Anolis sagrei: one gene and its partners. The protein of the gene in region 3 interacts with the protein of the main gene of each other region in a pairwise test. Links are inferred from orthologs where the notes say so. Each region holds a gene or a part of one and is shown on either strand. Other genes may lie near its edges.

Evidence for each region.
Region 1: the proteins of MEOX2 (region 3) and MAPKBP1 interact in binary tests that used the Homo sapiens proteins (3 or more experiments, as listed by UniProt). The two-hybrid records come from large-scale screens. The link is inferred for Anolis sagrei from reciprocal best matches to the Homo sapiens genes MEOX2 and MAPKBP1.
Region 2: the proteins of MEOX2 (region 3) and PRKAB2 interact in binary tests that used the Homo sapiens proteins (3 or more experiments, as listed by UniProt). The link is inferred for Anolis sagrei from reciprocal best matches to the Homo sapiens genes MEOX2 and PRKAB2.
Region 4: the proteins of MEOX2 (region 3) and SHFL interact in binary tests that used the Homo sapiens proteins (3 or more experiments, as listed by UniProt). The two-hybrid records come from large-scale screens. The link is inferred for Anolis sagrei from reciprocal best matches to the Homo sapiens genes MEOX2 and SHFL.

Annotation. Positions count from the first base shown.
Region 1 is NC_090021.1:288,090,442-288,097,941, forward strand, and holds the start of MAPKBP1 (mitogen-activated protein kinase-binding protein 1), read right to left. Parts: upstream 3,021-7,500; 5' UTR 2,722-3,020; intron 1-2,721. UniProt on the Homo sapiens protein: Negative regulator of NOD2 function. It down-regulates NOD2-induced processes such as activation of NF-kappa-B signaling, IL8 secretion and antibacterial response. Involved in JNK signaling pathway.
Region 2 is NC_090024.1:132,489,015-132,496,700, reverse strand, and holds the start of PRKAB2 (5'-AMP-activated protein kinase subunit beta-2), read left to right. Parts: upstream 1-4,683; 5' UTR 4,684-4,793; intron 4,794-4,961; exon of another isoform or gene 4,962-5,086; intron 5,087-7,686. Other genes in the region: FMO5 (flavin-containing monooxygenase 5), read left to right, coding at 865-1,207. UniProt on the Homo sapiens protein: Non-catalytic subunit of AMP-activated protein kinase (AMPK), an energy sensor protein kinase that plays a key role in regulating cellular energy metabolism.
Region 3 is NC_090026.1:96,461,762-96,469,209, forward strand, and holds the start of MEOX2 (homeobox protein MOX-2), read left to right. Parts: upstream 1-4,436; 5' UTR 4,437-5,100; coding exon 5,101-5,656; intron 5,657-7,448. UniProt on the Homo sapiens protein: Mesodermal transcription factor that plays a key role in somitogenesis and somitogenesis and limb muscle differentiation. Required during limb development for normal appendicular muscle formation and for the normal regulation of myogenic genes.
Region 4 is NC_090022.1:172,322,728-172,330,445, forward strand, and holds the start of SHFL (shiftless antiviral inhibitor of ribosomal frameshifting protein), read right to left. Parts: upstream 3,021-7,718; 5' UTR 2,911-3,020; coding exon 2,881-2,910; intron 1-2,880.

The DNA of each region.
Region 1 (7,500 bases), on a different chromosome or scaffold from region 3:
TTATAGTTCACCTACAATCAAAGTGCATCCAGAACCCAACTAACAATAGAATTGGTCCAAACTTCCCACATAGATCCCCCATGGCCAACAGAAAACACTGTGTTTTCTGATGGTCTTTGGCGACCCCTCTGACACCCCCCTAGCGCCCCTGCCCCGGATCTCGACCCCCAGGTTGGGAAACTCTGGACTAGAAGATGGTCCTTGCGGTCTCTTGCAACTCCGTGATTCTATGAAAATGTATTATTATAGTAAACTCTCAATTAACCATAACTCAAACAATTGGAACTTTCAAGCAACTGGCAAAAAATCAAAGAAATAATACTTCATTCACAAAATTATTTTAATAATACAATAAAACTGTGTTACATTAAGGTTACTGTCATATGTTTTCATTTGCTTTTTGTTACTGTATTTCAATATCCAATCAATAGGAAGTATGGTATGGTTTGATTAGAGAATCAAGCTTATTTTTAATAGTAACTCTCAAGCAACCAGAAACTACATGCATTCAACATTTACCAATCCACATGGACACCAGTCAAGGGAGAGTCTACCCTATTAGCTGTAGTACAGCAAACTACAAATCCCAGAATTCTACTGCGCGAGCCATGGCAGTTAAAAGTCATGTCAAACTGTTATAATTCTGCATTGTGGTCTGAAGTAACAATGCATGCACACCTTGCTGCAGTCTTTAAACTGGCAATAACAGAAAACAGAAGCCAGCCCTACAATCAAAGTCTGGCAGCCAGATGAAGACAGCAGCATTTTCATGCAGGTTTTCTATTTCAACCTTCAGCGTATATACACTTTTTTGCACACACACACACACACACCCCGCCTACCCTTATCCCTTCTTGATGGAGGGGAAAATCACCAGGTGCCAAGAGAAGCAGAAGCCTCAGGCCTCAAACCCTCTTATTCTTTTGGTGACAAAGCTCAGTAAAGGTAGAAAAGCTCAGCAAATACTTTCCAAATTCCCTGGAAGACATTCACAGTGCCTTTGACTCCTCCTGCCCACAAAGGCAAGAATTGCAAGTCAGCAGCGCAGAGGGAGAATAAACCAACCTTAAGCATAAGGAGGAGAAAGCTGAAGAGTCTACCAGAAAACTATATATATGTGTTTGCCTTCTTTTTGTCCCTTTAAAATAGTGTGCGCACCTGTGTTTTAATTTAAAGGGACAGAAAGAATATATGTGTGTGTGTGTAGCGACAGAAGGGAGACATAGTGGGTATATTTATAAAAAGTAAAGGTTCCCCCTGACATTAAGTCTAATTGTGTCTGACTCTGGGGTGGTGCTCACCTCCATTTCTAAGTTGAAGAGCTGGCATTCTCCGTAGACACCTCCAAGGTCATGTGGCCGGCATGACTGCATGGAGCGCCGTTACCTTCCCGCCGGAGCGGTACCTATTGATCTACTCACATTTGCATGTTTTTGAACTGCTAGGTTGGCAGAAGCTGTGGCTAACAGCGTGAGTTCACCCCACTCTCCAGATTCGAACCACCAAACCTTTCAGTCAGCAAGTTCAGCAGCTCAGCAGTTTAGCCCGCTGTGCAGGGGGGGGGGGCGCTCCATGCAGTCATGCTGGCCACATGACCTTGGAGGTGTCTACGGACAATGCTGGCTCTTCGGCTTAGAAATGGAGATGAACACCACACCCCAGAGTCAGACATGACTGGACTTAATGTCAGGGGACTACCTTTACCTTTACCTTATATATATATATGGGACAGAAAAAGGCTATATATATAGATATAGATAGATATATATCTTAAAGGAACAGAATGAAGGCATTATAAACACACACATATATATGAAACTTAAAGGCACAGAAGTAAGGCACAGTGTATATGTGGATATACACTATATATATACATATATATATATATATATATATAGGGACAAAAGAACATACATATATGTTAGATTGACATCTAAAGAAACAGAATGAAGACATATACAGGGACAAAAAAAGGCATATTATACATATATATACACATATATACATAATGTGTGTGTGTGTATATATATAGAGAGAGAGAGAGAGAATAGGGCTCCACAGTCACCTACGAACCCACCGCCAGGACACCGAAGTTGGAGGACCATCATCCTCGGACTACGAGGGATCGCCTAAGTAAGTAAGTAATATATAGATACACAATCATATATATATATATAATGTGTATGTGTGTGTGCGTGTGTATATATATGTAATGTGTATATGATGCCTTGTTCCTGTCCCTGTATATGTGTTTGTGTATTTAAACGGACAGAAGGGCTATCTATCTATCTATCTATATATATATATATATATATATATGGGTACAGAAACAAGGCATTATATATACACACACACATATACACTATGCCTTATTTCTGTCCCTACTCACACACACACACACACACACATATATATAATTTAGAGCGTCAGAAGGAAGGCACATTTTCTTATTTTTATCTATAGATTTCGATTTAAATCAGGCATGGGCCAACTTGGGCCCTCCTTCCAGGTGTTTTGGACTTGAACTCCCACCATTCCTAACAGCCTCAGGCCCCTTCCTTTTCCCCCTCAGCCGCTTAAGCGGCTGAGGGGGAAAAGGAAAGGGCCTGAGGCTGTTAGGAATGGTGGGAGTTCAAGTCCAAAACACCTGGAAAGAGGGCCCAAGTTGGCCCATGCCTGATTTAAAGAGACAGGCAGGAATGAATCCCAAACCTTTGTTACCTGGGCGAAGAGGCAGCCTGGCTTTAAGGGCGGGAGAGGGACGACGGGAGAGAGGCTTTCCCCTCCTGGATGTCCATCCCTGCAGCCCGGCCTTCCTCCTCTGGAAAGGCTTCCCAATCCAATCGTAGAGAGCTGCTTCGGGGAGCGATAGGGAGAGGAGGCGGTGCGGGGAGAGAGAGAGAGAGAAGCCTTCAAACCACTCGGAGAAGCAGTCTGTCAGGGATTTCAAAAATGCAGAGGGAGGGAGGAAGCGGTGGCGCAACGCGGGTCCATTCCAGCCCTTCCTCCGCCTCCTTTCCTTCCTTGCAGGCTCGGGGCTCCCTTCTTCCCTCCCGCTCCGTGCTTCCCCTCCCGTCGTCTCTCGGCGTCTGGCTGCGGGATTCACCCTGACAGCTCCCAGCCAGCCAGAGTCCGACGCGGCTACGGTGGCCCACGCGGACCAAATCGCTAAACCGAGGGAGGAGGAGAGCGCTGCGAAGGGAGGGAGGGGGAAGAGCGGCAAATCTGCCAAGAGGAAAAATCTGCATCGAGAGAAAGGGTGGGCGCTTCAAGGTCCACCCCCCTGGAAGGAAGAATGCGGTTGTTTTTTTTTCTGGAGAAAGAAAAGCTCAGCACCATCACACGCTCAACACACCCCCTCCGATTGCCTCCTCTACACTGTAGAATTAACGCAGTTTGACACCGCTTGAAGTGCCACGGCTCATTCCTATAGAATCCTTGGAGTTGTAGCATGGATCTTTGTCTTTACTCTCCTGGTTTGTTCTTGGAAGGTAAAGACAAAGATCCGAATCCGGGGAGTGGGGTGAGCTCACGCTGTTAGCCCCAGCTTCTGCCAACCTAGCAGTTCGAAATCCTTGGAGTTGTAGCATGGATCTTTGTCTTTACTCTCCTGGCTTCTTCTTGGAAGGTAAAGACAAAATCCGAATCCGGAGAGTGGGGTGAGCTCACGCTGTTAGCCCCAGCTTCTGCCAACCTAGCAGTTCGAAAAAACACGCAAATGTGAGTAGATCAATAGGCACCACTCTGCCGGGAAGGTAACGGCGCTCCATGCAGTCATGCTGGCCACATGACCTTGGAGGTGTCTATGGGCAACGCCCGCAATTCGGCTTAGAAATGGAGGGGGGCACCAAACCCCAGAGTCAGACACTGGAATTAATGTCAGGGGAAAACCTTTACCTTACCTTGGAGTTGTAGCTTGGATCTTTGTCTTTACTCTCCATGCCAGCCACATGACCTTGGAGGTGCCTATGGACAAAGACGGCTCTTCGGCACCAACCCCCAGAGTCGGACACAACTAGACTTAATGTCAGTGGAAAACCTTTACCTTTACCTAAAGACAAAGATCCACCCAGAGGAAAAGTTTTCTTACCATGCATCGGGGAACCACTCAGGCATGTAGCGGGGGGGGGGGGGGGGCGCTCAGGGAACTTCAGCCCCCCCCCCCCCCCCCCCCCCCGAAATTCTCATGGTGGTTCGCAAAAAGGCCTTACTGGTGCATTACTTAAACTGTTATGTTTATTCATATCATTATCTCATCACCATACTCAATATATCCCATATGCATGGGGGTATTGGGGTAATGATACAAAAGGTTTGCTAGGCTAGACCCTCTTTCACTCAGACTCAGCCCCCCCCCCCCCGACCCTTCCCCCTGAAAAAAATTCAGCCCCCCCCCCCCCCCGAAAGAAAATCCTGGCTATGGGCCTGAGTCAACTGATCACATAGGGAAGCTGATGAGGAAACACAACCTACAACAGTATCTACAGACCCACTAAGAATATCCAGTGCTAATCCGTGATCAATTGCATATATTCCATATTGAAAATTGCTGCACTGCCTTGTTTTTCAAAAGCCTGCTCCCAGAGCCAGGTTTTTACTCTTCTTCTGAAGGTTAGGAGAGAGGGGGCTGGTCTGATGTCACTAGGGAAGGAGTTCCACCACTGAGAAGGCCCTGTCCCTCATCTCCACCAGCCACATTTGCAAAGAAGGTGGGATTGAGAGCAAGGCCTCCACAGATGATCTTAGTGTCTGAAGTGGTTCATAGGAGGAGATACGTTCAGACAGGTAGACTGGGCTGTAAATGTTTATGGCTTTATAGACTAAAGCCAGCACTTGAATAGTATGGGGCATAATATTAGTTAGGGCTAGTTTTAATTTTAACTCTCAAGCAACCAGAAACTACATTTATCCAGCATCTACCTATCTCCATGGGTGCCGATTAACTGTACTTTACTGTACTTTCTTCCAAATGCAGTTCAGCAATAAGACCTGCCATTTGATCGCAGTATATAGACCAGGGCTTGAGAATTACAGCCCTACAAATAGTGTGTTTAAATTCCTATCAGCCCTTGCTAGTATTGCCAATGGAGAGGAATGATGGGAGTCATGGGGCCCTAAGCTTCTCCCCTCTTGATATGAACCACCTTGAGTTGCTGATAGGCTGAGAAAGGCGGTATACAAATACAGTAAATAAACTATGTATGTTGCATAAAACCTCTAAGATTCCAGCAATGAAATTGATGCATGGTGATTATTGACATAGAATCACAGAGTTGGAAGAGACCATGTGGGCCATCCAATCCAACCCCCTGCGAAGAAGCAAGAAAATCACATTGAAAGCACCCCTGACAGATAGCCATCCAGCCTCTGCTTAAAAGCCTCCTAAAAAGGAGCCCCCACCACACTCCAGGGCAGGGACTTCCACTGCTGAACAGGTCTCACAGTCAAGAAGTTCTTCCTAACGTTCAGGTGGAATCTCCTTTCCTGTAGTTTGAAGCCATTGCTCCGTGTCCTAGTCTCCAGGGCAGCAGAAAACAAGCCTGTTCCCTCCTCCCTATGACTTCCCCTCACATATTTATACATGGCCATCATGTCTTCTCTCAGCCTTCTCTTCTTTAGGCTAAACATGCCTGGATCTTTAAGCTGCTCCTCATAGGGTTTGTTCTCCAGACCCTTGACCATTTGAGTCACCCTCCTCTGGACACATTCCAGCTTAGAGTCAACATCTCTCATCAGTTGTGGTGTCAGTATTCCAGATGTGGTCTGACCAAGGCAGAATAGAGGGGTATCATGACTTCCCTGGATCTAGATATTATACTCTTATTTATGCAGGCAAAAATCCCATTGGCTTTTTTTTTTGCTGCTGCATGACATTGTTGGCTCATGTTTAACTTGTTGTCCATGAGGACTCCAAGATCTTTTTCACACATATTGCTTTCAAGCCAGGCGTCCCCCATTCTGTATCTTTGCATTTCATTGTTTCTACCTAATTGGAGTATCTTGCATTTGTTACTGTTGAACTTCATTTTGTTAGTTTTGGCCCATCTCTCTAATGTGTTCACATTGTTTTGAATTCTGCTCCTGTCTTCTGAGGTATTGGCTATCCTTCCCAATTTGGTGTTGTCTGCAAACTTGATGATCATGCCTTCTAACGGCTTCATCTAAGTCAGTGGTTCTCAACCTGTGGGTCCCCAAATGTTTTGGCCTTCAACTCTCAGAAACCCTAACAGCTGGTAAACCGGTTGGAATTTCTGGGAGTTGTAGGCCAAAACACCTGGGGACCCACAGGTTGAAAATCGCTGATCTAAGTCATTAATACAGATGTTGAACAGGACCGGGGCAGGACAGAACCCTTCAACATGTGTTGAAGACATCCGGCCCTATAACAAGGAGCATCTTATTGAACGTCCTCCCCATGGAATCCCCCTCCTCCTCCAAATTTCCTTCAAAGTCTGTTCCATAGCATCCTACCAAGCTCCAGATTTTGAAGATGCACAGAAAGGGAGAAATCTATATCCCTCCCCCCCACCCTCCCTGCACTAATGGAAACCATTTTGTCAAATTGGCAGCAAACAAAGAAAGGCAATAATCTCACAAACACACAGGAAATAAATAGGACAGATCCTTTGATGTTCTTTTGTGTGTAGCCAGGAGCCCTTGTCACTTCCCTCATATGCCAGCTGTAGCACTTTATTCCTGCTCAGCATTAAACCAGAGCTGCTCATGTTCAAAAAGAATCAGGGACTCCACCAGAATACTGTGTGTCCCAAGAATTAAACAGCACAGCTGAGGCAACAGGCAATGAAGAAGCACTTTGCTCTCATACTGATTGCCTGGTCACAAGGAGGCAGCGCATGACATCGATTGATCACTTCCACATTCCCCTTTTTGGATGGCCACAATGTCTAGGAAAATAAATACCATACATTCCAAAGAGCTTGTCATCCAAACAAATTAAGATGAATCTTCTGCAACATAATGACAGGCCAACCGTAATAGATTACAAGGCAGCCTCAGGGCAGCAAATGGATAGTTACTGTACTATATTTTGTTTGAATCACAAAGGCAAATGAAGCATTTCCCCATCACATCTCAAAATAATTTGATCAGCTTTATTTGCTGTTTACCTTCAGTTGGAAACAGAAAAAATGATAATTTTATGTCTGGCATCAATCAGCAGAATGACTTAGGGTGCATCTACACTGTAAAATTATTGCAGTGTAACACCACTTTAATAGCCACAACTTAATGCTATGAAATCCTAAGAGTTATAGTTTAATATTGCACCAGTGCTCCTTGTCAGAGAAGGGTAAAGCTCTTCTAAAATGACAAATCCCATGATACCATTGAGCCATGGCAGTTTAAAGTAGTGTTAAACTCCATTAATTGTACCATGTAGATGCACTCTTTGACATCCCTGAGCCCTTAACACTTCACATGTCAGTTTGTTTTAATGTAATTGTGTTGTAATGGTAATTTGAGGAGCAGTTAATTGCTAGA
Region 2 (7,686 bases), on a different chromosome or scaffold from region 3:
GCCATTCCTATGTTCAATTTTACCGACATTGAAGTCCATCAGCACTATCAGCTAATGGGGCTCCAACGCCAAGCTAGAGACCAGCCCAGCTAATTCAGGTAGGGAGACTGTTGAGCAGCGGGGTGGGTGGTACACCCACAGAATCCATTCTGTCCCAGCTGCCCACCTTTAAATAGACACATTCAAACTAGGCTAACTGTGGGACAGGGCATCTGGTCAGGGAGATGGAATCCCGATAAACCACTGCAACTCCTCCTCCTCCCCAGACCTAGCCTGCTGCTGCAGCGAGAAACTAGTGGTCAGAGACGGTAGAGATTTACTCCTCTGGCTTCATCCAGCCAAGTCTTGGTAATACATGCCAGGTCAGCTTGTTATTCCAGAATCAAATCCTGGATAATAGATGTTTTGCCATTTACTGACCTGGCGTTTAACAGCAGCAGTTTTAGCCTGGAGGGATTGCCATCATAGATATCCAAGTTACTTACCAGAGGAGACAGTCCAGGCCTGTTAGAAATCTACTGCCCTTCCTATGATGGTAGTCAATTTGTCTCCTCCTCCCACATCTCCTCCTGCCCTGAATTACCTCAGTGGTCTCTTCCTGGTCCCGGTCTACCCCTTCTACTGCATGCCTATGAATATGAAGATCATCATTGATGAAGACTTTAACTTAGGCCCAATCGTTATCTTAGGACATTAAGGTATTCTATATTAGTGAGGCTTATTGCACAATAATCAATTTTTTTAGCTCTGAAATTTAATGAGGTTAATGCAATGGGAGGGAAGCAAATAGGACTTTCAACCCCCCACTGACCTCAGAATGTGTTGTTATGTATGTAATATGTAAAATTTCATCTTTCCTGCTAGGTATGTGAAAAGCCAGCGACACACTGTCCAAGTAGACTACATTGAATACATGGATGAAGTGGCTTCTCAATTTGGAGTGAAGCCCAACGTTTGGTCTCTCCTTCTGACAGATCCCAAGCTTGCCTGGGAAGTGATCTTTGGACCATGCACCCCATATCAATACCGTCTGCAAGGACCGGGGAAATGGAATGATGCCAGGAAAGCAATCTTGACCCAGCATGAGCGGGTCCTGAAGCCCTTGAAAACAAGGCCCACTGATGACTCAAATACAGTCTTGGTGCCCCTTTGGTTAAAGATGGTTGGCCTTCTTGTTCTCTTTGCTGCATTATTTGCTCATTTTTAAATGGTAAAGATCTTCACTGACAAAAAGCAAGTGGAAGTAGTGAGACTCTATCTTCTTTTTAACAAAAAGATAGCATATATATATATATATATATATATATATATATATAACAACACAACTCAAAATCCAGTTAAGACAATGTACATTTTATATTAAATCATAGCTTCTAATAAGTGCAAACCTATCTTTGCCTACGTAAGAAGTTAAAAAATCATTCTTTTCTAACTTTTTGTATTATCTGTAATTAGCTATGATACTATTAGCTGGCATATTATGCTGACACAATAGTGGGATAGAATGGCTGCAGGCACCATGGTAGCATGGAGGTTTGCAGAAAATGTGATCTTTGTTGGGAGGAAGTTGACATGCCTGATCATAAGCTGCTTGGAAGACATTATTGATCTGGCAATGAAAGCAGTTTCTCTTCTGTTTCCCATATCTCCCACCTGGTATGTGCTATTCTCAAAGTTATAATGCTTCCAGCCACTGTACTATCAGTGTTTACAGAAATTGTACTTTTCTCATAAATTCCTATTTTCTATCATGGCTTTGTCAGCTCAGATGGTAATTGCAAAAAACTGGGAAAAATACAGTGGAATTTTCAGTTGTAGAACCAATAAATAAATAAATAATGGAATGTGACATTAACTGAAAAACTAAGCAAAAAAAGTGTTAGAAATGCTACAGCAACCTGGTTTTTCTTTATTTCTTTTATCCAGAAAAGCAAAAATATGTTTGTTCCTCCAACTACTCATTTAAGTTTATGGAATGATGAACTGATGACGCATGGTGCATGGAACGATGTATTGGTGATTTTATACAGTTTTATGTAATTCAACTGTGTGGTTGAGTTTGATTTTCAAATGAATGTGTTTTCCCCATTTCTGTTTATCTTTAATTTAATAAAATTACTGAGTAAAAAAAGAAATTAATGTATAGTCCATACTGAAAGCTAATACATATATTCATAAAATAATAACGTAGCCCTCTTTAAATGTATGTGTAACTTGCTTTATTTATTTCCTACTTCAGTCTTAGGTATCGCTTTCTTATGCAAAGAAGTTAGTCAGTTCTTTGTCCTCCCTTAGGAGTAGAAATCTTCGTGAGTCTCTGTATAATGCCCTTTCAAATGTAGTTAAAGAGAGTAGTCAAACAGGAACAAAAAACCGAGTTACAGAAGTTGAATCTTCCCTGCTTTTTGGAGTATGGAAAGGCGAAGGATCACCACTTCAATGCTTGAGGTCTTTGCTTCTTCCAGAATGCTGATATTTGTTCGCCGTTCTTCCCAAGAGATTTGCAGGATTTTTCGAAGGCTACTCTGATGAAATATTTCCAGAAATTGAGAGTGATGTTTGTAGATGGTCTATGTTTTGCAGGCATACAATACAGTTGGAAGGACAATAGCTTTATAAACAAGCATGTTCACTTTAAAATGATTTAGATTAAAATTACTAACATAATAACATGATTAAAATACATTCAAAGTTTAAAAAAGGTTAAAACACAGCACAAAACCTGGCATAATCTCTGTTCCAAATAGATCAGAGACAACTAGGTTATCAGTCTAACAACTGCACAAGTACATGTGGATATACTTACTTAGGCGATCCCATTAAGCTGTATTTCTGGCATTGGAGAGAGATTGGCTGGTGACTGCTGGAAAAGCACTTTGGTTTTCTCAATGCTTAATGACAGGCTGAGCTTCTCGTATGCTTCTGCAAGGTGTTTAGAGTGGCTTGTAGGTCTTCTGAATGTGTAGAGACGACGTTGTCATCAGCATACTGGAGTTCTATAACATGTTGTTGTAACCTTGGTTTTGGCTTTCAGTCTGCTGAGGTTAAATAGCTTGCCATCTGTCCGATAGATGATTTCCACTCCGGTGGGAAGCTTCCCGTCAACAAGATGAAGTATCATAGCGATGAATATGGAAAATAAATGTTGGGCCAATAACACATCCGTTTGACATCTGATTCCACCTTAGAATCATAGAATCAAAGAGTTGGAAGAGACCTCATGGGCCATCCAGTCCAACCCCCTGCCAAGAAGCAGGAATATTGCATTCAAATCACCCCTGATGGATGGCCATCCAGCCTCTGTTTAAAACCTTCCAAAGAAGGAGGCTCCATCACACTCCGGGGCAGAGAGTTCCACTGCTGAACGGCTCTCACAGTCAGGAAGTTCTTCCTCATGTTCAGATGGAATCTCCTTTCTTTTAGTTTGAAGCCATTTTGTCGTGCAGGGAAGCAGAAAACAAGCTTGCTCCCTCCTCCCTGTGGCTTCCTCTCACATATTTATACATTGCTATCATATCTCCTCTCAGCCTTCTCTTCTTCAGGCTAAACATGCCCAGCTCTTTAAGCCGCTCCTCATAGGGCTTGTTCTCCAGACCCTTGATCATTTTAGTCGCCCTCCTCTGGACACATTCCAGCTTGTAGAAATCTTCGTGAGTCTCCGAAATCTTCGTGAAATCTTCGTCATCTCTCTTCAATTGTGGTGCCCAGAATTGGACACAATATTCCAGGTGTGGTCTAACCAAAGCAGAATAGAGGGGTAGCATTACTTCCCTAGATCTAGACACTATGCTCTTATTGATGCAGGCCAAAATCCCACTGGCTTTTTTTGCCGCCACATCACATTGTTGGCTCATGTTTAACTTGTTGTCCACGGGGACTCCAAGATCTTTTTCACACATACTGCTCTTGAGCCAGGCATTGTCCCCCATTCTATATCTTTGCATTTTGTTTTTCCTGCCAAAGTGCAGTATCTTGCATTTTTCACTGTTGAACTTCATTTTGTTAGTTTTGGCCCATCTCTCTAGTCTGTCAAGATCGTTTTGAGTCACTTAAATGGGTCACTTTGGGAACCATTGCTGTCCAAGACTGTTACAACAGTTTTGGGTATGTGGATATATACCACCGAAGACAAAATTTTACTCAAACGGGTTTTTGGCTCTTTGGAAGAGCATACTTGTACGAAAGATTATGATTTTCAAATGGTTGTGAATGCCATTTGTTTCCCAAAAGGTTATGGAGATTTTGGTTTTTCAAAATATCCTGTGCCAGCAATGTCCCTCTGCAGTTTGCATTGGACAAACACTTCCATCCTAGGCCTCCTCCAACTAGCTATTTGGGCCTCCAACTCCCAGAATTCCTAACCATTGAAGAAGCTGGCGAGGGCTTCTGGGAGTTGGAGACCCACACTGCAGGAGAAGGCCTGCTCTATATGCAGGAAGGGAATGGACACAAATCAGGCGGTAGAACTGGAGAGGGAGGGAGTGAGGGGGAGGCGTCCCGATTCCTATCCTTCTCTCCCTGAGGCCGTGATAAGGCTCACATAAGGTATAACTATTTACTTCATTGACTGCCGACTCCTAGACTGTTACACGTCCGCCATTCCCATTCCCAGAGAAGGCCTCAACACCGGAAGCGGAACATATTTTCCCTTTTCCGCTTCCCGCTCTCGCTCGCTCTGTTTTCGGGGCAGGAGAGGCAAGCCGAGCAGCGTCATGCGCATGCGCAGTTCTTTTTTCTCCACTGCCATCTTGCCCGAAGAGGAGGAGGAGGAGGAGGAGGAGGCCGCCCTGAGGGTGAGTGCAGAGCTCCTCCTCAGACTTCTTCGGGAAGGGCCCGAAGTTGCTCCGGGAGGGGAAGGAAGGGCAAGGCAGGGCTGCCATGGCGGCTTTTGGGACAAGGCTCAACCCCCCCCCCCCCGGCCTGAGGACATTCAAACAAGGCTCTAATTGTGTTGTCGAAGGCTTTTATGGTCGAAAACACTGGGTTGCTGTGAGCTTTTTCGGGTTGTATGGCCATGTTCCTGTAGCATTCTCTCCTGACGTTTCGCCTGCATCTGTGGCAGGCATCCTCAGATGTTCTGTTGATGGTGAGGCAAGTGGAATGTCTATACTTCCTGACTGTGAGAGCCGTTCAGCAGTGGAACTCTCTGCCCCAGAGTGTGGTAAAGGCTCCTTCTTTGGAAGTTTTGAAACAGAGGCTGGATGGCCATCTGTCGGGGGTGCTTTGAATGCATTTTTCCTGCTTCTTGGCAGGGGGTTGGACTGGCTGGCCCATGAGGTCTCTTCCAACTATATGATTCTATCTCTCAGAGATGCGCCCAGCTCTGTTCAACATCTTTATTAATGTATTGTCGAAGGCTTTCATGGCCGGAATCACTGGGTTGTTGTAGGTTTTTTCGGGGTATATGGCCATGGTCTAGAGGCATTCTCTCCTGACGTTTCGCCTGCATCTATGGCAAGCATCCTCAGAGGTAGTGAGGTCTGTTGGAACTAGGAAAAAGGGTTTATATATCTGTGGAATGACCAGGGTGGGACAAAGGACTCTTGTCTGCTGGAGCTAGGTGTGAATGTTTCAACTGACCACCTTGATTAGCATTTGATGGCCTGACAGTGCCTAGAGCAAACTTTGTTGAGAAGTAATTAGATGTCCTTGTTTGTTTCCTCTCTGTTGTTGTGCTGTTGTAATTTTAGAGTTTTAATACTGGTAGCCAGATTTTGTTCATTTTCATGGTTTCCTCCTTTCTGTTGAAATTGTCCACATGCTTATGTATTTCAATGGCTTCTCTGTGTAGCCTGACGTGGTGGTTGTGAGAGTGGTCCAGCATTTCTGTGTTCTCAAATAAAATGCTGTGTCCAGGTTGGTTCATCAGGTGGATTTATGAGGAAACACAACATACAAACTATCTACAGACCCACCAAAAAATCCAACAAATGCTACGTTCAGTAAAGGACAAGAGGGATCCTCTCACTTCTGCAGGAGTCTACCGTGTACCATGTAGCTGTGGACAAGTCTACATAGGGACCACCAAACACAGCATTGCCCAAACACGAATCAAGGAACATGAAAGGCACTGCAGACTACTTCATCCAGAGAAGTCAGCCATAGCAGAGCACCTGATGAAAAACATGAAATGCAAAGCTACAGGATGTGTGACGCTTAGTTCAAGAACAGTCCATGTGAGACAGATCTTGGAGTCTTCGTGGACAACAAGTTGAACATGAACCAACAAAGCCAATGGGATTTTGGGCTACATCAAAAGGAATCTAGTGTCTAGATTGAGGAAAGTCATGATGCCTTTGTATTCTGCTTTGGTTAGACCTCAGTTGGAATACTGTCTCCAATTCTGGGCACCACTATTGTTGTTGCTGTTGCTGTTGTTGTTGTTGTTATTATTATTATATTTATTTCTATCCCGCTTTTCTCCTGCGATGGTACTCAAAGAGGCATAAAGCATGTAAAATCAAGACAATTACAAACAAAAAATACAAACATGAACTCCAACTAATGAGAAATTAACAATTTAAGACATTAAAACATTAAACTCCCATTACCTATGACAGCTAGCATAAAACTAGCATAGCAACATAAATTAAAAACATACCAGTTAAACCCATGTAATGTCCTATTAATTTATGCCATGAAACAAACCAGTTACTGACGGTCTACTATATAGTTGACATATTGCACATCAGAATGCCTGTCAATCTACTGGTCTTCGTTGGGGAGACCAGTAGAAATAACTGGTCTCCCCAACTTGCTTCCGAAATAACAGCAGTGAGGGGGCTGTACTAACCATTTTTGGGAGGGAGTTCCAGAACTGCGGGGCCACCATTGAAAAGGCTCTCTCTTATTCTCACCAGCCGTGCTTGAGATGATGGTGGGACCGAGAATAGGGCCTCTCCTGATTACCTTAGGGCTCATATGGGCTCATAGGAGGAGATGCAGTCCAATAAGTACGCTGGGCCCCAACTGTTTAGGGCTTTATAGATTAAAGCCAGCACCTTGAATTGCGTCCACAAACAAACTGGCAGCCAGTGTAGTTGTTTTAGGAGAGGGGTAGTTCTTTCCCTATACTCTGCTCCTGTGAGCAATCTGGCAGCTGACCTTTGCACCAGTTGAAGTTTCTGAACGCCCCTCTAGCACAGACCTACCTAGAGTGCGATACAGTAATCTAAAATGGATGTGACTAAGGTGTGTATCACCATGGTCAGTTCCACCATGGCCACTTCAAAAGCAATATTGACAAGCTGGAAGGTGTCCAGAGGAGGGCCTCTAAAATGATCAAAGTTCTTGAGATTGTAAGTATCTGTGAGGAGCGGTTTAAAGAGCTGGGCATGTTTAGCCTGAAGAAGAGAATGCTGAGAGGAGACATGATGGCCATGTATAAATATGTGAAAGAATGTCATAATGAAAAGCGAGAGCAGGTTTGTTTTCTGCTGCCCTTGAAACTAGGACTTGGAGCAATGGGTTCAGATTATAGGAAAGGAGATTCCACTTAGACATTAGGAAGAACTTCCTGATTTTACGAGCTGTTCAGCAGTGGAATTCTCTGCTTCAGAGTGTGGCAGAGGCTCCTTCCTTGGACATTTTTAAACAGGCTGTATGGGATACTGATTATGCTTTCCTGGAAGGTGGGGGTTGGACTAGATGACACATATGGTCTCTTCCAGCTCTATGATTCTGTGA
Region 3 (7,448 bases):
AGATCAGGCATGGGCAAACTTCAGTCCTCTATCTATCTATCTATCCATCCATCCATCCATCCATCCATTTATCTATACAACTAGATATAGGAAAGGGGAAGAGATACAGCTGGTAGATAGATAGATAGATAGATAGATAGATAGATAGATAGATAGATAGATAGATAGATAGATAGATAGATAGATAGATAGAACAGGCATGGGCAAACGTCAGTCCTCCATCTATCTGTCTATCCATCCATCCATTATCTATACAACTAGATATAGGAAAGGGGGGAGATATATAGTTGGTACATAGATAGATAGATACAGCATGGTTAAACTTTGCTTCTCTGTCGATTTCCATGTATCTATCTATCATCTATCTATCTATCTATCTATCTATCTATCTATCTATAAACACAGACATAGGGATATATACAGTTGGCAGATACTAGATATATAGATAGATCAGGCATGGACAAACCGGTCCTCTATATTTATCTATCTATACAAATATATATATATATAGAGAGAGAGAGAGAGAGAGTTGGTAGATAGATCTATAGATAGATCTATAGATAGATCAGGCATGGGCAAACTTCAGTCCTCTATCTATCTATCTATTCCCTATATATATATATATAGAGAGAGAGAGAGAGAGAGAGAGAGAGAGATACAATTGCTAGATAGATCAGGCATGGGAAAACTTTTTTCCTCCAGATGTTTTGGACTTCAACTCTCACAATTCCTAACAGGCAGTAGGTTGTTAGGAATTGTGGGAGTTGAAATCCAAAACAGTTGAATACAAAAATATATTATTTTATGTTTATTTCGAATATTTGTACCTCACCCTTCTCTACCCTGGAAGGGGGACTCGGGGCAGCTGAGATAGAAGAAAGAGATGGGTGGATAGATTAGATAGATAAATAAATAAATAGAAAGTCAGTTAAAATGTTCATAATAAAACGTAAAAACAATTCACATCACAATTTAATATATTATGTTGGCATAGGGGTAAGAGATACCTTTGGATAATGGTTTTAGGGATCAGGTGGGGGGGGGGGGTGCCAACAAGCTCTGGCATGCCATTGTAGAGGCTGTCCTGGATTCAAAAAGAAAAGGCAGACTTGTCTGAGACCACAGATCATTCCTAAGCTTATAAAACCAAAGAATCTATATGGGAGGATATAGATTGGTGTTCTCTCAATTTGTTTCAAGGAAACCTCTGCATATGTAGCATCCTTTCATGTTCTAAGTATGAAAACCATAAAATCAATATGTGTCAAGATGGTAATCAAGTAGCTTGACAGGTGTGGGGAGCCCTGCCGTAAAATGAATTGTCCACACTTGTAATTGCACTGCAGCGGAAGTGCTAGTCCACAGCTGTTTGCCATATTGAAATGTATTCACTTGACTGAAACAGACCTCTGGCCAAGGGGCTTATTTTGGGCCAGAGAGAGAGAGAGAGCAAGTTTAAACTCTCCAGGAAACTTCATTTCTAGACTCTTTGGATCTGAATCCAGTGCACACGGGTTTCTGTCTATCCCTATTAGCACATTTCTTCAGAGACACCCCAGTGTGAAAGGCATCTTGATCTGAGGGATCTCTTTCATTGTTTCCACAGGCTACTTTTACACATCATAGAACTGGTCCAAGTTATCCATCTTCTAAATAAAAAATCAACAGTCGCTCCAGGACAAGACTGAGACATCTCTTTTCAGCACTAGTTAAACTATAAACTATTTTGCTGACAGACATGAGGAGGCTGGTAAAGATTGTATAAATGAAGTTGTGGTTTTTAAAGGCGATTGTTTTGAAATATATGGAGCATGACTCTTGGAGTGAGACTGAGAGCTCCTATTTGACAAGAAAATAATTCCAGGATAGTCTTAGATTTGTGACTAGCTTTATAACAATCACTGTTTTTGTTTAAAAGTTGGAAAAGAGCACAAAATTACTTCATCGAAATCAATTCTCTGTATATGTGGTACAGTAAATAGCTGTACACCCAATCCACCAAAATGCTGGGGAGTAAGAATTCTAATATTTAGCAAGGGGAAAAATATAACATTTTTATGGCACATCACATATGTTACCTCAATAATCCTTATAACCTAGTAAACTCAGCTGATGTTATTATTCCCATATTGTGAACAGGAGGAATGCTTAGGCCAGGGATAGTGGCTTCCCTAAGGTCATTTTATGTCTTCAAGGCTGAAGGAAGTTTAGAATCATGATGAACTTCCCATATTATAACTCTTTTCTCACAGTTCATACTCCTGCAATTCAATATCATGCAGGCTTACTGAGAAGTAAATCCCATTGAATGTAGTGAGAATTCCTCCCTAGTAAATATGTTTAGAATTGTATCCTTAACCAATATCCTGCACCAGGGAAACTAGCACTTAAAAAAAAACCTCTTGAGGCAATGAAGCAGAGAAGATTTCATTTACCTTTTTTACTTGCCAGGAAAAGATATCCTGAGAGTTGCAATATAAAATATTTATGCAGAATTCTCCCCATGGATTTTGGAGAGAAATGTGAGGATGCGAAGCTTATTTTCCCTGAGCTGCTGGGTCCAGTGAATCCAGTATTTAATATGGCCCTGATATCCCAGGCTTGCTCCCAGCTTGAGACAAGGAAAGTTCATAAGGCCATATCACACATTAGAAAACAGCTTATGCTGACGATTCATGGAAATGAAAACTAATATTCAAAAATATACCTGAGATAAAATAGCCTTTAGGGGCAACCATAAAAATCAGTGGGTTTAAATTAAGTCTTTTCCAGCTGCAGCTTTGTTTTGAACCTTCTTGTGATTCTGAAGTGTGTGTATGTTTGTCTTGGGGTATTGCAGTTTTAGCTGAAAGGTCTTGAGGGTCCTTGGAGAAACATCTACAACCTCATCAAATAGCTGGTTCTGGACCTCCATGTAAAGAGGTTCTTAGTCTCACCATATACATCTTTAAACCATGTGTAAATTGTCTCATTGATGACTATGAATGTAGGTGTATATTTGTGGCGGGAAGCTCAATTGGCCAGGCTTCTCTTTAGTCAGTGTCCATGTTGCATTAAATAGACTTGTGTCCCAGATACTGGCCTACATATGAGGAAGGAGGTCCCAGGACTAAATTGTTTACTGTGACATGTGATGGGCTATTGTTCATCAGTTCATGAGTGAGATCATGGAAAGGAAATTTGATGACTGTGTTGAAATGAAGAGAAGAATAAAGACCAAAAAGTCTGTATTGTTCATAAGAAGTTCCATCATGCTGACTCTTTTCAATGAGACATCTCACAACAGTGTCAGATAGCTGCTAAGGTCTCACAACCAGTCCCTAACCTAACTACCTGTCTCTGGTCTCTATTCTAGTAGAGCTTCTGAACTCAAGATTTTGGGGGTTTCCATTAGTGGGAGAACATGTGCAAAGGGAAGTGTGGAGAAACTGGAACCAGTTTACCACCTTTTTCCTAAGCAGCATGGTTTCAGTGGCAGCTGAACCTGAGGAACAGTTCAAAATTTTAGTCTAAAATGTAGCAGAGGTATCCAAGGTGCTGAATGGTGTTTCCAAAACAGCTTTGGACATTGGATAGTTCTTTCAAATATAGGGTTAGAGCCTGGACTAGATTCACCACTCTTGCTGAAAGGGGACACATTTGATGCCAGTATGAGTATACGGAGCTTTAGTCAAACCATTCTGTCCTCTGGAAGGTGAACAGAAGAATTTATGCAGCAGGAGATACAACCTAGTTCTAGCTGCCACCTCTGCCTGCTTACTTGGTCACTTTTAGTTCTAGGTGACATAACAAAGGCAATGGAGTCTGCTGGGTCCATGCAACCTTGAAGAATGGTGTAAATGGGCAAAGCAGAAAGGATTGAAACACGAGACCAATTAAGCAGGTCTTGATTTCTCAGTTGTGGCACATTGAGCTCCTTGATCTGGTGGCATAAAGTGAAAGATCAGAACCAAGTTCCATCCAGAAAGATTTGCCCAGCTTTTCCCCATTCAACAATTTCAACTCGACACTTCTGTCCAGTGGAAAGGGCAAATTGTTTGGAGAAGGCCCCATCCCATGTTGTTCATGGAGGACAATATCATGGAAGTAGGAGGAGATGCCTTCTTTATCCAGGGTCTGCTGCTTAGGAGAGAATCAATTGGGGAGTGAGGGAAGTCACACAGAACCAAGAATCATCCAGAAAGATTTGCCCAGATTTCCCCTACCCAACAACTTCAACTCAGCACTCCTGTCCAGTGAAAGGGGCAGATGGTTTGGAGAAGGTCCAGTCCCATGTTGTTCATGGAGAACAATATCATGGAAGTAGGAGGAGACGCTGCTTAGGAGAACCAATTGGGGGAGTGAGGGAAGTGACACTCTGAGCCGCATCCTGCACCACCCAAGAGAGGTTTAGTCAATGGAAGTGCCCATTAGCCATTGCTTCCCCGTCCTTCCTTGGGTAGTAGTGATGAGGCCCAGAGGGAAGGAGCAGCAGGAGTGGCTCCAGCTGAGAGTGAGAGGGATCTATTGTGGGGGGAGCCAAGAGAGTTGGGCTGCCAGAAGTTGAGAGGAGGACCCTGGCTAAGAAGGCATGAGGACAGCCCCCCTGGGGTCAGGGCTTGGGTCCTCCGAGTGGCCGGTGGCAGGGCTGTGAGGCTGAAGCGGGGAGGCCGCTGCCTGTGGTCAGTGCGCCGTGCAGCCTAAGCCAGCCCCCGGCTCACGTTACACACTCCTGTATTTATAACCTCGGCGAGCCGCTTCCCCCGCGGAGGAGCAGCCACAACAGCAGCAGCAGCAGCACTCGGGACCACCTCCTTTTTGCCGGCAGAGCCGAGCCCCGCGCCCCTTTCCCCCCACCTCCGAGCCAAGCCAGTGAAGCCACCGCCGGGACCGGTTGCGCGCCGAGGACTTGGATTATTATTCCCGGTTGCGCTCCCTTGGCCCGCCTCGCCTTGCCTGGACGTGCCCTGCCTGGCTTCGGGGGTGGCTGGCAGGAGAGCCGAGGGGCAGGAGGAGGAGGAGGAGGGGGGCGAGGAGGACCCGGGCACCAGCGCCTGGTGGTTCTGGGCCCGCGGCGGGCTTTCGGGGCCGGAGGCGCGCGGGTCCCGCTTGGTGCATGCCATGGACCACACGCTCTTCGGCTGCCTGCGCAGCCCCCACCATGCCCCCGGCCAGGGCTTGCACCCCTTCTCGCAGTCCGCCCTCGCCTTGCACGGCCGCTCGGACCACCACATGTCCTACCCGGAGCTCTCGGCCTCCTCCTCCTCCTGCATCATAGCCGGGTACCCCGGCGAGGAGGGCATGTTCGGCAGCCAGCACCACAGGGGGCATCACCACCACCATCACCATCACCACCATCACCAACAGCAGCAGCAGCCGCAACAGCCGCCGCCTCACCAGGCTTTGCAAACGAATTGGCACATTCCGCAGATGGCTTCGCCGCCGCCGCCCCCTCCACCTCCTCCTCCGCCGCCCGCCTCGTCCAGGCATAGCCTGTGCCTCCAGCCCGACTCGGGGGGACCCCCGGAGCTGGGCAATAGCCCCCCGGGACTGTGCTCGAACTCGCCGAGCTTGGGAAGCAGCACCCCGACGGGCGCGCCGGGAGATTATGGCAGGCAGGCGCTGTCCCCGGTGGAGGCCGAGAAGCGCGTCGGCAAGCGGAAAAGCGACAGCTCAGGTAAGGAAGGGCACACAAGGGGCTTCTCCCTGCGAGACGGGAAGGGGAGGTGGAGAGGGGCAGCCCGGGATGGGCGAATCGCCCAAGACTCCTCCTGGCCACTCCTGGCCTGGTGTCACTTTTGGGGGGCGCAAAAAGCTTTGTATGACGGCTAAGGCATAGGCCATGCGGTTGAACCATGAAATCGCTCGTCCACACTTCCCAACAGGCCAGAGGGGGGAACTCTCGGGGAGTTTGGACTCGTGTGCGCCTCTGACACCTGGGTTTCCCTTCCGGGATTCCCCACTTGGAAAAGAGAAGCGCTTTCCCCACTCCATCAGCCAGTTTATTTCCCTAGTTTCTTTTTTCAGCCAGTGCTTAACTCTCGAGAAGTTGGCATTTCTTCTTTTGGTTTATTTTATACAGGATGTTTTAATGCTATACTTCTTTGACTGGGAGTAAATCCCAATGAGATAAATGGGATTTACGTCTATGTAGACATGGATTCCTATCCATTACAAAGCTTTATTTGGTTTGTTTTGTAGAGGAAGCCATAATCCTATGGCTGGGATAAATCCCAATGAAATAAATGAGGTTCATGTCTATATAGCAGGCATGGCCAAATTTAAGCCCTCCACGTGTTTTGGACTTCAACTCCCACAATTCCTAACAGCCTCAGGCCCTTCCCTTCACTTAAGCGGCTGAGGGGGGAAAGGAAGGGCCCTGAGGCTATTAGGAATGGTGGGAGTTGGAGTCCACAACACCTGGAGGACCCAAGTTTGCCCATGCCTGCTATATAGGCACAGATTTGTCTCCACTACAATGTTGTAACATACACGTCCCTCTCCTCTGTCGTTTTTACAAGTTATGTGTTCTGTATTTAATAGCTTCTGTAATTTCCAGCTTTTACATGCTACATACAATTTTATATACAGGGTCCTGAACATGTTTGGAAAAGGATTTGAATTATTAATCTACTAATTAGTGAAATCTAAGAAAATGTCCCTCTATTATAATCAATTTCAGTTCCTTACTGAAGCATATTTACATAGGATACACACTCACATACTCAGTTAAGGATTTATTGTGCTAGTAATATGCCTGTTTGATTTTGAAAGTAAATCGAGGTGTCACTTTGGCTATATATATATGTGTGTACTAGGGTTGGATTAAATGTGCTACCAGCATTCCAAGCAGTTTTGTATGACAGATGTTGGCCCCATGATAAAACTGCTAAAGGTAAGTTATACAGACAGGCACATGCAAAAGAAAAGGAAGTTGTGGTTAGAAAGAGAAAGTAATAGCATTTCCCTTGTATTATTAGAAATACAAGGGAAGCCATGATCATGTTTCCTTTAAATGCAAGCTGAATAATGAAAAAAATAGTTTTCTTTCTGCATTTTCTATATTTAACAGACTTATTTCTATTTTCAATAATTTCCCTATACCAATTATAACACTTTTTCAGAAGTTGACAGGTTCTCATACTACATACCTAGTGGTTTATAAAGAAATTGGTTTTTCCAAATCATCACTAAATATGTAACATGTATGAAGAAAATTCAAATTTCTAGGGCATATAATTTTAAATTGGCAGATGGGTAAGTGTAATAACTTAAAATTCTATTACCTAAAAATGGAAAGGAAATTTTAATTTCACTTTGTTGTTATACTTCAAGTCTCAAATATGTAAACTTAAATTACAATGAATTACAGTATAATCCACAACACAATGAAGCAATTTTCATTTATTTGATATGTGAATATTGTTGTTCTTAATATTACCGCTTTATACTCATACTCATAATGAAAA
Region 4 (7,718 bases), on a different chromosome or scaffold from region 3:
AGATTCAATCTGACACCCCTTGAGCCTCCCTCAGTGCTCTGGGACCCTGGGAGCTATAGTTTTACAAGGTCTTGAGCCTTCTCTGTCGAAGAAGGCTGGTCCCGTCCCAAACTATAACCCTCAGATTCAATCTGACACCCCTTGAGCTTCCCTCAGTGCTCTGGAACCCTGGGAGCTGTAGTTTTACAAGGTCTTGATCCTTTTCTGCCCAGGAGAGCTGGTCCCACTCCAAACTATAACCCTGGGATTCAATCTGATATCCCTTGAGCTGCCCTCAGTGTTCTGGCATCCTGGGATCTGTAGTTGTACAAGGTCTTAAGTTTTTTTTCCCCAAGAGGGCTGGTCCTGCCCCAAACTACAACTCCAGGATTCAATCTGACACCCATTGAGCTGCCCTTAGTGCTTTGGAATCTGTAGTTTTGCAAGGTCTTGAGCCTTCTCTGCCCCAAGAGAGCTGGTCCCACCTCAAACTATAGCTCCAGGATTCATTCTCACACCCTTTGAGCTGCTCTCAGTGCTCTGGCATCCGGGAAGTTGTAGTTTTACAAGATCTTGAGCCTTCTCTTCCCTCTCATCTCAAATTATAACCCCCAGGTTCAATCTGACACTCTTTAAGCTGTCCTCCATGCTCTGGGACTCTGAGAGCTGTCATTTTACAAGGTTTTGATCCTTTTCTGCCCAGGAGAGCTGGTCCCACCCCAAACTATAACCCCAGCATTCAATCTGATACCCCTTGAGCTTCCCTCAGTATTCTGGGATCTGTAGTTTTACAAGGTCTTTAGCTTTCTTTGCCAAAGAGAGCTGCTCTCGCCCCAAACTACAACTCCAGGATTCAATCGATTGAGGTGCCCTTAGTGCTTTGGAATCTGTAGTTTTACAAGGTCTTGAGCCTTCTCTGCCCCAAGAGAGCGGGTCCCACCCCAAACTATAGCTCCAGAATTCAATCTGACACTCCTTGAGCTGCCCTCGGTGCTCTGCGACCCTGGGAGCTGTAGTTTTGCAAGTTTTGACCCTTTTCTACCTAATAGAGCTAGTCCCACCCCAAACTATAGCTCCAAGATTCATTCTCACACCCTTTGCGCTGCCCTTAGTGCTCTGGAATCTGTAGTTTTACAAAGTCGTGAGCCTTCTCTGCCCCAAGAGAGCTAGTCCCACCCCAACTATAGCTCCAGGATTCATTCTGACACCCTTTGAGCTCCATATTTGATTCTGCCACCCTTTCAGCTGCCCTCCATATTCTAGCATCCGGGAAGCTGTAGTTTTGCAAGGTCTCGAGCCTTATCTGCCCCAAGAGAGCTGGTCCCACCCCAAACTATAACTCCAGAATTCATTCTGCCACCCTTTGAGCTGTCCTCAGTGCTCTGGCATCCGGGAAGCTGTAGTTTTACAAGGTCTGGAGCCTTCTCTGTCCAAGAGAGCTAGTCCCACCCCAAACTATAGCTCCAGGAATCATTCTGACACCCTTTGAGCTGCGCTCAGTGCTCTGTTATCAGGGAGCTGTAGTTTTACAAGGTTTGGAGCCTTTTCTGCCCCAGGAGAGCTGGTCCCACCCCCAAACTATAACTCCAGGTTTGATTCTGACACCTTTTGAGCTGCCCTCAGTACTCTGGCATCCTGGAAGCTGTAGTTTTACAAGATCTTGAGCCTTCTCTGCACCAAGAGAGCTGGTCCCACTCTAAACTATAGCTCCAGGATCCATTCTGACACCCTTTGAGCTGCCCTCAGTGCTCTGGCATCTGGGAAGCTATAGTTTTACAAGGTCTGGAGCATTCTCTGTCCAAGAGAGCTGGTCCCACCCCAAACTATAACTCCAAGATTAATTCTGACACCCTTTGAACTGCTCTCAGTGCTCTGATATCCGGGAAGCTGTAGTTTTACAAGGTCTGGAGCCTTCTCTGTCCAAGAGAGCTGGTCCCACCCCAAACTATAACTCCAAGATTAATTCTGACACCCTTTGAGCTGCCCTCAGTGTTCTGTCATCCGGGAAGCTGTAGTTTTACAAGATCTTGAGCCTTCTCTGCCCCAAGAGAGCTGGTCCCACCCCAAACTATAGCTCCAGGATTCATTCTGACACCCTTTGACTGCCCTCAGTGCTTGGGCATCCAGGGAGCTGTAGTTTTACAAGGTCTGGACCCTTCTCTGCCCCAAGAAAGCTGGTCCCACCCCAAACTATAACTCCAGGATTAATTCTCACACCCTTTGAGCTGCCCTCAGTGCTCTGGCATCCGGGAAGCTGTAGTTTTACAAGGTCTGGACCCTTCTCTGCCCCAAGAAAGCTGGTCCCACCCCAAACTATAACTCCAGGATTAATTCTCACACCCTTTGAGCTGCCCTCAGTGCTCTGGCATCCGGGAAGCTGTAGTTTTACAAGGTCTGGAGCTTTCTCCGCCCCAAGAGAGCTGGTCCCACCCCAAACTATAGCTCCAGGATCCATTCTGACACTCTTTGAGCTGCCCTCAGTACTCTGGCATCCGGGAAGCTGTAGTTTTACAAGGTCTGGAGCCTTCTCTTCCCAAGAGAGCAGGTCCCACCACAACTATAGCTCCAGGATTCATTCTGACACCCTTTGAGCTGCCCTCAGTACTCTGGCATCCGGGAAGCTATAGTTTTACAAGGTCTGGAGCCTTCTCTTCCCAAGAGAGCTGGTCCCACCTTAAACTATAGCTCCAGGATTCATTCTGCCACCATTTGAGCTGACCTCAGTGCTCTGGCATCTGGGAGCTGTAGTTTTACAAGGACTGGAGCCTTCTCTTCCCAAGAGAAGCCATGGGAGTCTGAAGTGGGGTCATCCTGCATGAATCCTGCACTCTCTACCTCTCTAGGGCCCTTCCCCTTAAGCGCCTCTCTTGCTGGACGTCCTGAAGGGAGGTGGCCACTCACCTCCACCTCCTCTTGCAGGGAGTGGGCCATGGCTGGCCAGGGAGGACCACCGACCCAGGGAGCAGGGCAACCGCTCTGCTGGAGTCTCAGCCTTTGCTTGGAGTCGGGCAGCAGCAAGAGAGGTGGGGCAGGAAACCCTGCCAGACTTGTATCAGTTTCGTTTTCGTTTCCTGGGAGGGATGCCGGAAGGAATGCTCAAGCTTGGCTTCATTGTTTACTATAGGCATGCTTCTGCAACCCAGCACTGCAAGTTTGTGTTTTTCTTTCCCTCCTTCCAATGCCAGTGCTTCCAAAATCAAACAAACCTTCCAGCTACATGACATGGAGGAACAAAGGGCTGGGGAGATGCAAAAAGAATGTGGGAAAAGCAGTTTCTTTCACAGAGGCCCCATTTACACTAACCATTTAAGGCAGACTGAAAGCCAAAACCAAGGTTACAACATCTGTTATAGAACTCCAGTATGCTGATGACAACGTCGTCTATGCACATTCAGAAGAAGACCTACAAGCCACTCTAAACACCTTTGCAGAAGCGTACGAGAAGCTCGGCCTGTCATTGAATATCGGGAAAACCAAAGTGCTGTTCCAGCAGACACCAGCCAACCCCGCTCCATTGCCAGTGATACAGCTTAATGGTGTAACATTAGAAAATGTTGATCATTTCTGCTACCTTGACAGCCACCTCTCCACCAAAGTCAACACCGACACTGACAACACCGCCTGAGCTCTGCGAGCGCAGCATTTTTCCGAATGAAGCAGAGAATATTTGAGGACCGGGACATCCGTAGGGATACCAAGGTGCTTGTTTATAGAGCTATTGACTTCCCAACCCTGCTATATGCCTGTGAGACATGGACTGTCTACAGATGTCACATGCAACTCCTGGAACAATTCCATCAGCACTGCCTCCGGAAAACCCTGCAAATCTCTTGGGAAGACAGGCGGACAAACGTCAGCATGCTGGAAGAAGCAAAGACCACCAGCATTGAAGCGATGGTCCTCCACCATCAATTCCGCTGGACTGGCCACGTCCGGATGCCCGACCACCGTCTCCCAAAGCAGTTGCTCTACTTCGAACTCAAGAACGGAAAATGGAATAATGTATTGTCGAAGGCTTTCATGGCTGGAATCACTAGGTTCTTGTGGGTTTTTTCGGGCTATAGAGCCATGTTCTAGAGGCATTTCTCTTGACGTTTCTATCAGAAACGTCAGAAATGCCTCTAGAACATGGCTCTATAGCCCGAAAAAAACCCACAAGAACCTGGAAATTGGAATGTTGGTGGGCAGGAAAAGAGATTTAAAGACGGGCTCAGAGCCAACCTTAAAAACTCTGGCATAGACACTGAGAACTGGGAAGCCCTGGCCCTTGACCACTCCAGCTGGAGGTCAGCTGTGACCAGCAGTGCTGCAGAATTTGAAGAGGCACGAATGGAGGGTGAAAGGGAGAAGCGTGCCAAGAGGAAGGCGCGTCAAGCCAACCCCGACCGAGACCGCCTTCCACCTGGAAACCAATGCCCTCACTGCAGAAGAAGATGCAGAGCAAGAATAGGGCTCCACAGCCACATACGGACCCACAAGAACACTGGAAGACAATCCTCCTCGGAAAACGAGGGATCGCCTAAGTAAGTAAAGTAAGCCCATGCAAACAAAGATCCGCCTAGTCAAAGCCATGGTATTCCCTGTAGTAACCTACGGATGTGAGAGCTGGACCTTAGGGAAGGCTGAGCGAAGGAAGATAGATGCTTTTGAGCTGTGGTGCTGGAGGAAAGTGCTGAGAGTGCCGTGGACTGCGAGAAGATCCAACCAGTCCATCCTCCAGGAAATAAAGCCCGACTGCTCACTGGAGGGAAGGGTACTAGAGACAAAGTTGAAGTACTTTGGCCCTGTTTACCTCTCCGAACGTATTCTCCCCTACGAACCATCAAGACCATTAAGATCGTCTGGAGGGGCCCTGCTCTCGGTCCCACCGCCTGCACAAGCACGGCTGGTGGGGACGAGGAACAGGGCCTTCTCGATGGTGGCCCCTCGACTTTGGAACTCCCTGCCATTAGAGATCAGAACTGCCCCCTCCCTCATGACGTTCAGGAAACTTACAAAGACCTGGTTGTGGAATGCGGCATTTGACAACTGATTTAATTCTTTGCCCACATGAAAGGAGGATGATGAATGGTATTGTGATGGTGTTGGACGATTTGGCTCTTTTAACTGTGATGATAATGTTTTAATGTGTATGGTGCTGATATTTTAATCGTGTTATGAAGTGGCATTGTGTTGTTATTGTATATTCTTTGTATGTTAACACATGTTGTGAACCGGTCCGAATCCCTCTTTGAAGGTGAGAGGGTCGGTATATAAAACCTCGAAATAATAAATAAATCATGAGGAGACAGCAAAGCCTGGAGAAGACAATTATGCTGGGGAAAGTGGAAGGCAAAAGGAAGAGGGGCCGACCAAGGGCAAGATGGATGGATGGCATCCTTGAAGTGACTGGACTGACCTTGAAGGAGCTGGGGGTGGTGACGGCCGACAGGGAGCTCTGGTGTGGGCTGGTCCATGAGGTCACGAAGAGTCGGAGACGACTGAACGAATGAACAACAACAACAACATTCAAACATGCAATCCACGAACGTAATCCAGGCTTTTCCAATGATCATTGCACATTGTTCCAAGTCTACCTATTGCACAGGTTCTCTAAAGGCTTGGTCACAAAGCCACGTTTTCCCTCTCTTGTGGAAGGTGAGAAGTGAGGTGGCTGATCTAACATCGCTGGGAAGGAAAAGTAGAAGGAAAAGCAATGGAGGAGCTGGTTGTGAGAAGACAATTCCAGAGGGAGCACTGTGGACCTGATTTTCAAAATTGGGCTCCAGTTTTGTTGGTTGTTAACATTTTTAACAACCAACAAAACTAGCAGCCAATAGTGAAAGGACCAAGGCAGAGACATCTCCAGTTCATCCCCTGTTTGGGTATCAGCCAGCACGTCAACGACTTAAATCTAGAAATAGTTTTCTAAGATCTACAGAGACACTCACTGGGACACCTCAGCAAGCGAGAGTCCAAAAGTGGCAGGCTCAAACCCAGAACCTCAACCAATGGCTGATACCAAATGAGAGACTCCCTCCTGGGCACACAGAAGACTGGGCGACTTGGAAGGCGCTGAACAGACTGCGCTCTGGCACCACGAGATGCAGAGCCAACCTCAAGAAATGGGGCTACAAAGTGGAATCCACGACATGCAAGTGTGGAGAAGAGCAAAACACTGACCACCTGCTGCAATGCACCCTGAGCCCTGCCACATGCACAATGGAGGACCTTCTTGCAGCAACACCAGAAGCACTCCAAGTGGCCAGATACTGGTCAAAGCACATTTAATCAACTACCAAACTCACCAATTTTGTATTTTGTCTGTTTGTTTTCTTTGTTCTGTTAGAAATGTAATATAATTGACTGGCTACCCTAACACGACAAATAAATAAATGTAAGAAGGCCACTCCTACTGCCATACACTTCAAGAAAATCTGGGAAGCTGTCCAGAAGCTGAAAGCACGTCAACGACTTAAATCTAGAAATAGTTTTCTAAGATCTACAGAGACACTCGCTGGAACACCTCAGCAAGCGAGAGTCCAAAAGTGGCAGGCTCAAACCCAGAACCTCAACCAATGGCTGATACCAAATAAGAGACTCCCCCCTGGGCACACAGAGGACTGGGCGACCTGGAAGGCATTGAATAGACTGCGCTCTGGCACCACGAGATGCAGAGCCAACCTTCAGAAATGGGGCTACAAAGTGGAGTCCTCGACATGCGAGTGTGGAGAAGAGCAAACCACTGACCACCTGCTGCAGTGCAGCCTGATCCCTGCCACATGCGCCATGGAGGACCTTCTTGCAGCAACACCAGAAGCACTCCAAGTGGCCAGATACTGGTCAAAGGACATTTAACCAACTACCAAATTCACAAGTTTTGTATTGTGTCTGTTTGTTTGCTTTGTTAGAAATGTAATATAATGGACTGGTTGCTCTGACACGACAAATAAATAAATAACATTTTTGAAAGGCTTCAACATTGCGGGTAATGCCGTGGATGTAGCGTACCTGGATTTCAGTAAGGCCTTCGACAAGGTCCCCCATGACCTTCTGGCAAGGAAACTAGTCCAATGTGGGCTAGGCAAAACTACAGTGAGGTAGATCTGTAATTGGTTAAGTGGACGAACACAGAGAGTGCTCACTAATGCTTCCTCTTCATCTTGGAAAGAAGTGACAAGTGGAGTGCCGCAGGGTCTTGTCCTGGGCCCGGTCCTGTTCAACATCTTTATTAATGACTTAGATGAAGGGCTAGAAGGCATGATCATCAAGTTTGCAGACGACACCAAATTGGGAGGGATAGCCAATAGTCCAGAGGACAGGAGCAGAATTCAAAACGATCTTGACAGATTAGAGAGATGGGCCAAAACTAACAAAATGAAGTTCAACAGTGACAAATGCAAGATACTCCACTTTGGCAGAAAAAATAAAATGCAAAGATACAGAATGGGTGACGCCTGGCTCGAGAGCAGTACGTGTGAAAAAGATCTTGGAGTCCTTGTGGACAACAAGTTAAACATGAGCCAACAATGTGATGTGGCGGCAAAAAAAGCCAATGGGATTTTGGCCTGCATCAATAGGAGCATAGTGTCTAGATCTAAGGAAGTAATGCTACCCCTCTATTCTGCTTTGGTTAGACCACACCTGGAATATTGTGTCCAATTCTGGGCACCACAATTCAAGAGAGATATTGACAAGCTGGAATGTGTCCAGAGGAGGGCAACTAAAATGATCAAGGGTCTGGAGAACAAGCCCTATGA